2 linked regions of the Canis lupus familiaris genome follow. The protein of the gene in region 1 interacts with the protein of each later gene in a biochemical or structural test. Links are inferred from orthologs where the notes say so. Each region holds a gene or a part of one and is shown in the gene's direction. Other genes may lie near its edges.

What was found.
Region 2: of the proteins of UBC (region 1) and ZRANB1, one has a biochemical effect on the other in vitro, tested with the Homo sapiens proteins (10 studies listed by BioGRID and IntAct, with this or other methods). The link is inferred for Canis lupus familiaris from reciprocal best matches to the Homo sapiens genes UBC and ZRANB1.

The regions. Positions count from the first base shown.
Region 1 is NC_049247.1:5,228,646-5,232,845, forward strand, and holds the start of UBC (polyubiquitin-C), read left to right. Parts: upstream 1-1,400; 5' UTR 1,401-1,559; intron 1,560-2,381; 5' UTR 2,382-2,384; coding exon 2,385-4,200.
Region 2 is NC_049249.1:34,608,253-34,612,186, forward strand, and holds part of ZRANB1 (ubiquitin thioesterase ZRANB1), read left to right. Parts: intron 1-1,607; exon of another isoform or gene 1,608-1,840; intron 1,841-2,810; coding exon 2,811-2,931; intron 2,932-3,934. UniProt on the Homo sapiens protein: Ubiquitin thioesterase, which specifically hydrolyzes 'Lys-29'-linked and 'Lys-33'-linked diubiquitin. Also cleaves 'Lys-63'-linked chains, but with 40-fold less efficiency compared to 'Lys-29'-linked ones.

The DNA.
Region 1 (4,200 bases):
CTCATAAATACGTACCTACATGGGTTACCAAAGAAAACACATAGCAGTTTTGATTCACATTTTGAGAATTTAAATAATACAATATTCATAATTTAAAACAGGAATGAGTCTTTTTTTAACCGCAGAACATTGTTTAGGCAACTTTTCCTATTTGTTTTTTTCTTGAAAGCTTTGAGGGTGAAATGAAAAGATCTTTCCCCCCTCCACACTGAAACAGAGAATAGCTCCAGAAGAGACAGTGGCTGGGGGATTGAGCATGTGAAGGACTTTTCTCTGTAAACTTCCAGAAACTTTTTAAGTTTTCACCATATTCAGGTATTTTATTTTTCAGTCTTTCTCCTTTTATTCAAATGGAATTTTGCCATAGAATTCAATGTAATTAAATTATTTATTAAAGATCTTTATTAAAAAAAAAAAAAGATCTTTATTCATGAGACATCAGAAACAGAGACACAGGCAGAGGGAGAAGCAGGCTCCCTGCGGGGACCTCAACACAGGACTGGATCCCAGGACCCCGGGGTCACGCCCCGAGCCAAAGGCACTCAACCACTGAGTCACCCAGGTGCCCCAAATTTTGTATTTGGGATATTAAATTGTGTCCCCCCCCCCCCCGCCCACGAATGTACAGGCCTGGGATTGGACTTGTGTTTCTGAGACCCCAGGCCTAAGGAAGTTGTACGTCTGAGCTCCACTGAGTGTCCACCAGATGCCTCCGTGTGTGTATCTAGTACAAGGCGGCGTAGGTGGTACAGGAAGGCCAAAGGACATTCTAGAAAGTTCGGTGGACTTCCAGACGCCTCTCGAATAGGTGCGGGCAAAGCGTGCGGGGTTTCTGCGCCCCCTTCTAGCCTTCGGCCGTCCCGCACCCCCTGCTCCCCCGCTGCCCCAGCCCAGCCCGGGCCCACCTCCCGCCCCGCGCCGCGATCTGTCGAGTCATCCGTCCTGTCCGCGCCCGCGCGGGGGGATGGGCGGGCCGCAGGCCCCGGCGCGAGGACCCCTGCGGTCGCGGAGGGGCGAGGGACCACGACGCCCAACCCCTCTCCGCCCAGGGCGGGTCTCGAGAGCCGCGGGGACCGCTGCGGCCGAGGGGAAGGGGTGTCTGGGTCCCGCGGCAGGGGCAGCTCGCCCCGGACGCCCGGCGATTCCGCGCCGGGTTTTCCCGTCTCCCGCGGGCCCTGTTCTCCGCGCTCGCCCCCTCCCCCCTCCCCCCTCGCATCCGGCGCCGGCCACGTCCGCGGACGCAGCACTCAACGGGCGCGCTGATCCCTCCGCGCGGGCGCTCGGGACCGCGGCCCTCTCCTCGCCAGATTCAGCCCTACAGCCCAGCCTTGACAGGTCGACGTTTCCGGGGGCTCCTAGAAGATTCTGGGGCAGTGGTTTTCTCCCTGGAGGCCAGGAAGACGGTGAAAAGTAGTCCCTTCTCGGCGTTTCTGCGCAGGGATCCGCCGGAGCGGCGCGGCCGATTGTTATATAAGGAGGCGCCGGGCGTGGCGCAGGCAGTTCCGTGGAGGCCGGGAGGTCGGTTGTTCGTCTCCGTGCGCTTCTGTCACAGCCGCTTGGTGAGGAGCGGGCCGCTGCGCGGGCCTGGGGGTCTTGGGGCCCTGCAGGGGCGGGGGGCCGGGCAGCCGGCTGCCCGGGGAGTTGCCCGCGGCGCCGGAGCGCGGTTACTCTTGGGGGGGGGGGCGCAGCAAAATGGCGTCCGCTACGGCTCCTGTGCGGGGAGAAGCCGAGGTGCGAGGGGCCGTGAGGAGCCCGGGAGACGGGATGGCTGTGAGCGGGCGAGACGCGCCGAGCCAGTGGGGCCCTGACGGGGCCCTCTGCGCAGTGAGTGGGGGCGGGAAGCCCCTGTGTGCTCCGCGGCCCCGCTGGCGCCACGCTCCGTGTCCGGTCGCGGCGAGTGGGCCCGAAGTGCCGGAGCAGTCCTGCGCCCGTTTGGGGGGAGGGGGCCCGCTCGTCGCGTCGGTCATGTGATGTCATCGCTTTGTCAGCTAACAATCCGGGGTGGGGCCGCGTGTTCCTGTGTGTGGAGCCGGCTTGGGTCAGTCGCGGGGCACAAGGGTTAGGCGGGGCGGGGGAGGGGAGATCCTGCGGATTGTCCGGTCCAGACATCACTGAGGGGGGAGGGGAAGATACGGAAGCCGGCGCCTTCACTTGACCGGTATCCATGCTTTCTCTCCTCCTGGGGCCTGGAACTTGGTTTTGGAGCTTATTTGAGTTTCCAAAACCTGTCCTGTTTCTTCGCCTTAGGTTTTTTGGCGAGGTTTATTTTAGTTCTTGGGTTAGTGTAAAATGACCAGTAACTGTTAGCGTTCTATTCACATGTGAGTGGTCTGTTACACTCCGGATTGTTTTTTTTGTTTTTTTGGGTTTTTTTGTGACAGACAATGCAGATCTTCGTGAAGACTTTGACGGGTAAGACCATCACCCTGGAGGTGGAGCCCAGTGACACCATCGAGAACGTCAAGGCGAAGATCCAGGACAAGGAGGGCATCCCCCCTGACCAGCAGAGGTTGATCTTTGCTGGCAAACAGCTGGAAGATGGGCGCACCCTGTCCGACTACAACATCCAGAAGGAGTCCACTCTGCACCTGGTCCTTCGCCTCAGGGGGGGCATGCAGATCTTCGTGAAGACCTTGACGGGTAAGACCATCACCCTGGAGGTGGAGCCCAGTGACACCATCGAGAACGTCAAGGCGAAGATCCAGGACAAGGAGGGCATCCCCCCTGACCAGCAGAGGTTGATCTTTGCCGGCAAACAGCTGGAAGATGGGCGCACCCTGTCCGACTACAACATCCAGAAGGAGTCCACTCTGCACCTGGTCCTTCGCCTCAGGGGGGGCATGCAGATCTTCGTGAAGACCTTGACGGGTAAGACCATCACCCTGGAGGTGGAGCCCAGTGACACCATCGAGAACGTCAAGGCGAAGATCCAGGACAAGGAGGGCATCCCCCCTGACCAGCAGAGGTTGATCTTTGCCGGCAAACAGCTGGAAGATGGGCGCACCCTGTCCGACTACAACATCCAGAAGGAGTCCACTCTGCACCTGGTCCTTCGCCTCAGGGGGGGCATGCAGATCTTCGTGAAGACTTTGACGGGTAAGACCATCACCCTGGAGGTGGAGCCCAGTGACACCATCGAGAACGTCAAGGCGAAGATCCAGGACAAGGAGGGCATCCCCCCTGACCAGCAGAGGTTGATCTTTGCCGGCAAACAGCTGGAAGATGGGCGCACCCTGTCCGACTACAACATCCAGAAGGAGTCCACTCTGCACCTGGTCCTTCGCCTCAGGGGGGGCATGCAGATCTTCGTGAAGACCTTGACGGGTAAGACCATCACCCTGGAGGTGGAGCCCAGTGACACCATCGAGAACGTCAAGGCGAAGATCCAGGACAAGGAGGGCATCCCCCCTGACCAGCAGAGGTTGATCTTTGCTGGCAAACAGCTGGAAGATGGGCGCACCCTGTCCGACTACAACATCCAGAAGGAGTCCACTCTGCACCTGGTCCTTCGCCTCAGGGGGGGCATGCAGATCTTCGTGAAGACCTTGACGGGTAAGACCATCACCCTGGAGGTGGAGCCCAGTGACACCATCGAGAACGTCAAGGCGAAGATCCAGGACAAGGAGGGCATCCCCCCTGACCAGCAGAGGTTGATCTTTGCCGGCAAACAGCTGGAAGATGGGCGCACCCTGTCCGACTACAACATCCAGAAGGAGTCCACTCTGCACCTGGTCCTTCGCCTCAGGGGGGGCATGCAGATCTTCGTGAAGACTTTGACGGGTAAGACCATCACCCTGGAGGTGGAGCCCAGTGACACCATCGAGAACGTCAAGGCGAAGATCCAGGACAAGGAGGGCATCCCCCCTGACCAGCAGAGGTTGATCTTTGCCGGCAAACAGCTGGAAGATGGGCGCACCCTGTCCGACTACAACATCCAGAAGGAGTCCACTCTGCACCTGGTCCTTCGCCTCAGGGGGGGCATGCAGATCTTCGTGAAGACCTTGACGGGTAAGACCATCACCCTGGAGGTGGAGCCCAGTGACACCATCGAGAACGTCAAGGCGAAGATCCAGGACAAGGAGGGCATCCCCCCTGACCAGCAGAGGTTGATCTTTGCTGGCAAACAGCTGGAAGATGGGCGCACCCTGTCCGACTACAACATCCAGAAGGAGTCCACTCTGCACCTGGTCCTTCGCCTCA
Region 2 (3,934 bases), on another chromosome or scaffold:
GTTTCCTGCTATCTGAAAGTAGAGCATTCCTGGGAAACCTTTTGTCAGCTGAAGTGGCATAAAGCAAAGATGCAATTACCATCTCGTGGAAGTGAAAATCCTCTTCAGGTTTCTTTTCAGCTAGCAAGAACAGGTACTAATGTAGGTCTTTCATAAAAGCAAAGGGGCATGAAGCAAACTTTCAGATAGTAGCGGAAACCTGTGTCTTATTTTTTACCCAGCATCCAACCAGGTATATGACTGGTCTTGACTTAATGGTATTTTCTTGGTTCTGTATATACATTGTCTCAGTTGTCATAAGTGAGAAAAATTGAGGGTGAAAGAAGCTAAATTAATTAAAGTATGCTCCCCCCCATACCTAATTGAACACGGTAATGATAACGGCCTTAATCCAAAAGATGTTACTACCCTAGTACCTCTTATGTAATATCTGAGCATTTACTAGGTAAATTTTGTTGTGAGTATTTAGGGATTATGTGAAGTCCATTAGAACATAAACTCCATGAGAACAGAGATTTTGTTGTGTTTCGTTGTGGAAGATGTAGTGCCTCCAGTAGCCTGACCTAGTAAGTACACCGTAAACACTACTGAATGAAAGTACTCTCTAGAATTTGAAAATGAGAGCAATTTGATCACTTTTTTGATAGCTAAATTATAAATCAAAGCATAATACAAAAGAGGAAAAATTTGAGGTCACCTGAAAAAAATTAAAACGCTTCCTAGCTGGCAAGCCTAGATGGTAACCTGATTGGATGTATAATATGTACAGGCATACCTTGGAGATAGGTGGATTTAGTTCTAGACGGCTGCAATAGTGAATATTTTAATCAAGTAAAGGAATATTTTGGTTTCCCAGTGCGTATAAAAGTTAATGTTTCCAGTATATTATAGTCTGTAGTCAAGTGTGCAGTAGCCATTAGGTCTTAAAAAAACTATACGTTTTAATTTTAAGGTCTCTGTTGAGAGACCCCAGCCATCATCTGAACTTTCATTGAGTCCCGATCTTTTTGCTGGCGAAGGGTCTTGCTTCAAGGTTGATGGCTCCTGGCCGATCAGGATGCTGGTGGCTGAAGGTAGAGGTGGCTGTGGCAGTTTCTTAAAGTGAGATTACAGCGAAGATTGCTCCATTGATAGACTCCTCATGAATGATTTCCCTATAGTGCGTGATGCTGTTTGATGGCATTTTATCCACAGTATTCCTTTCAGCATTGGAGTTGGTCCTTTCAAACCCTGCTGCTGCTTTATCAGCTCAGTTATGTGATATTCTCAATCCTTTGTTGTGATTTCAACAGTCTTGATAGCATTTTTGCCAGGATTAGATTCCTTTGCAAAATAAATAAATACATAAATAAATAAATAAATAAATAACCACTGTCGTTGCTCATCCATCACAAGCAAGTTCTCATCTGTTCAAGTTGTGTCTGGAGATTGCAGCAGTTCAGTCCCATCTCTAGGTTCTACTTCTCATTCTAGTTCTCTTGTTATTCCCACCACATCTGCAGTTACTTCCTTCTTTCAGGTCTTGAACCCCTCAAAGTCATCCAGAGGGTTGTAATCTGCTTCTACCAAACGCCTGTAAATGTTAATATTTTGACCTCTTTCCTTAGATCAGGAACATTCTTAGTTGCATCCAGAATGGTGAATCCTTTCCAGAAGTTTTTCAGTTTCTTTTGCCCAGATCCATCTGTGGAATGGCAGCTAGAGGCTTACTTGGAATAATGAAAGTCGAAATTACTCCTTGATCATGGGCTGCAGAATGGATGTTGTGTTAGCAGCAGGCATGAAAACAATCTGATTGTCCATCTCCATCAAAGCTCTTGGGTGACCAGGTGCATTGTCGGTGAGCAGTAATAATTTGAAAGGAGTTTTTTTTTTTTTTTAAATAAATCTGGGGGGGTAGGTGTCAACAGTGGGTTTAAAATATTCAGTAAATTATACTGTAAATGGATGTACTGTCATTCAGGCTTTTTTTAAAATAGAGTATATTTAGCATAATTATTAAGGGCCCTGGGATGGCCCTTAAAGTCACTAGCTGCATGAGCCCCTTAACAAGAGAGCGTGTCCTTTGAAAGCAGGTACTGACTTCTCTCTAGCTATGTCAGTCCCAGAAGGCATCTTCTTCCTATAGAAGGCTGTTTCATCTACATTGAAAATTTGTTTAGTGTAGTTACCTACATTCATTATTTTAGCTAGATCTTCTGGAGAATTTGCTGTAGCTTCTACATCACTTGTCAGTTCACCTTACACTTTGATGTCTGGAGATGAGATGGCTTCTTCCTTTAAACCTCATGAACCAACTCTGCTACCTTCAGATTTCTCTTTGATGGTTTCCTCATCTTTCTGAGCCTTCATAGAGTCAGAAAGATTTAGGGCCTTGCCCTGGAAGTGATTTTGATACTGTTGTGAATACATGGGCTATTTCTAGTTTATTATTTACACAGTGATCAAGTAGTGAATACTAAATAGTAATGTAGAAATGTAGCATCTTTATATCCAGCATCTCAGATGATTCTGAGTGTTTGCTTTTTGGTTTTTAACCTTTAAACCAGTAGTAGACAGTTGAAATTGATTGTTCTTATCACTAATATTTAAAGTTTTGGTGAAAACATGTTGGGTGGTGAATTAAATTATGTGTGAGAATGTGTTAAATGATGTCTGCTAGGCATTTTTAGTTTGAAAGTATATTGCAAACTGGGTAAGATTAATAAAATTGCTGTTCTCTTTACAGGAATTGCTTAAAGACAGACTCCATTAAATAAATGATTAGAACATTTATAGAAGGCTTATCTTTTGCAATCTTGCTTTTTTAGGTTTTATACACGTTGGAAAGATTGGGAATCATGGTATTCTCAGAGCTTTGGTTTACATTTTTCCTTGAGAGAAGAACAGTGGCAAGAAGACTGGGCATTTATACTCTCTCTCGCTAGTCAGGTAAGAATGCTTTGAGGCATGTTGCTTCTGTGAAAAGCGTAGGCTACATATATGCGTAAACTGTTGGAAACATTGTGGTAGACATGAAACTGTGCTTGATTTGGCTTGATTTGGGTTCTGGCCGTGACTGCTGTCAACACTATGACCATAGGCAACTCACATGAAGTGATTAGAAACTTTGAAAATGAAAGTCATTATGATGATTTAAGCATTCACCTACCTTTTCAGATTGCTCTTCATTCATATTGTCCTCTTAGGAATGTGGCTTTATGCCTGTTTTATCTACCTCCTGGTTAGCTCCTGTTCTGTCTGAGGGGCACTTAACCAAGACCATTGAGCTGATGGTAGGTAGGCACTCTTGTGTTGGTGCTCTGTCTGCCGTCAGGCCTGGAGGGTGAAGCTGGGATCTTCATGAGACTTCCAGGGGTGAGGCTCTCTTTCCATGTGATATATGCCAAGAAGGAGGTGCCATGGCTGACAGGAGGAGGGATTTCTTTAAAATTAACCTGGGAATGGACTTTTTATAAAAACGAATTATGTAGGGTTGTTCCTCTTAGACTCTAGCTTTCATACTAGTTTTATTCTGTGAAGCACATTCAGTATGCTGAATTGTAATGTTCAAATATACACACAACAAACCATTCCTTATCTTTGCAGAAAGCACCATGATTAATTTGAACCCTGGCACAGTGGCTGTTTTACATCAGCAACATGTACTTCCTGAAAATGTGTTGTCAGAATTGTTATAGAGGGATGGTAGTAGACCTGTTTAGTATTCTTGCCATTTATGTTTGTGTGAAATAACAGCTCATCTTTTTACTTGGAGAGGACCTTGTCATAGGTGCAGTACTCTGACAGGTGACAGCAAGGATGGAATGACGCCACCACTGCCTTACTATCTGAATCTCTTGTTCCTGGGATCAGTATTTAACCAAATCCATTGGGTTTTGGGTTTGGATTGTGAAAGAGAGTTGTATACGTAGACTTCGCAGATTTCTTTTAT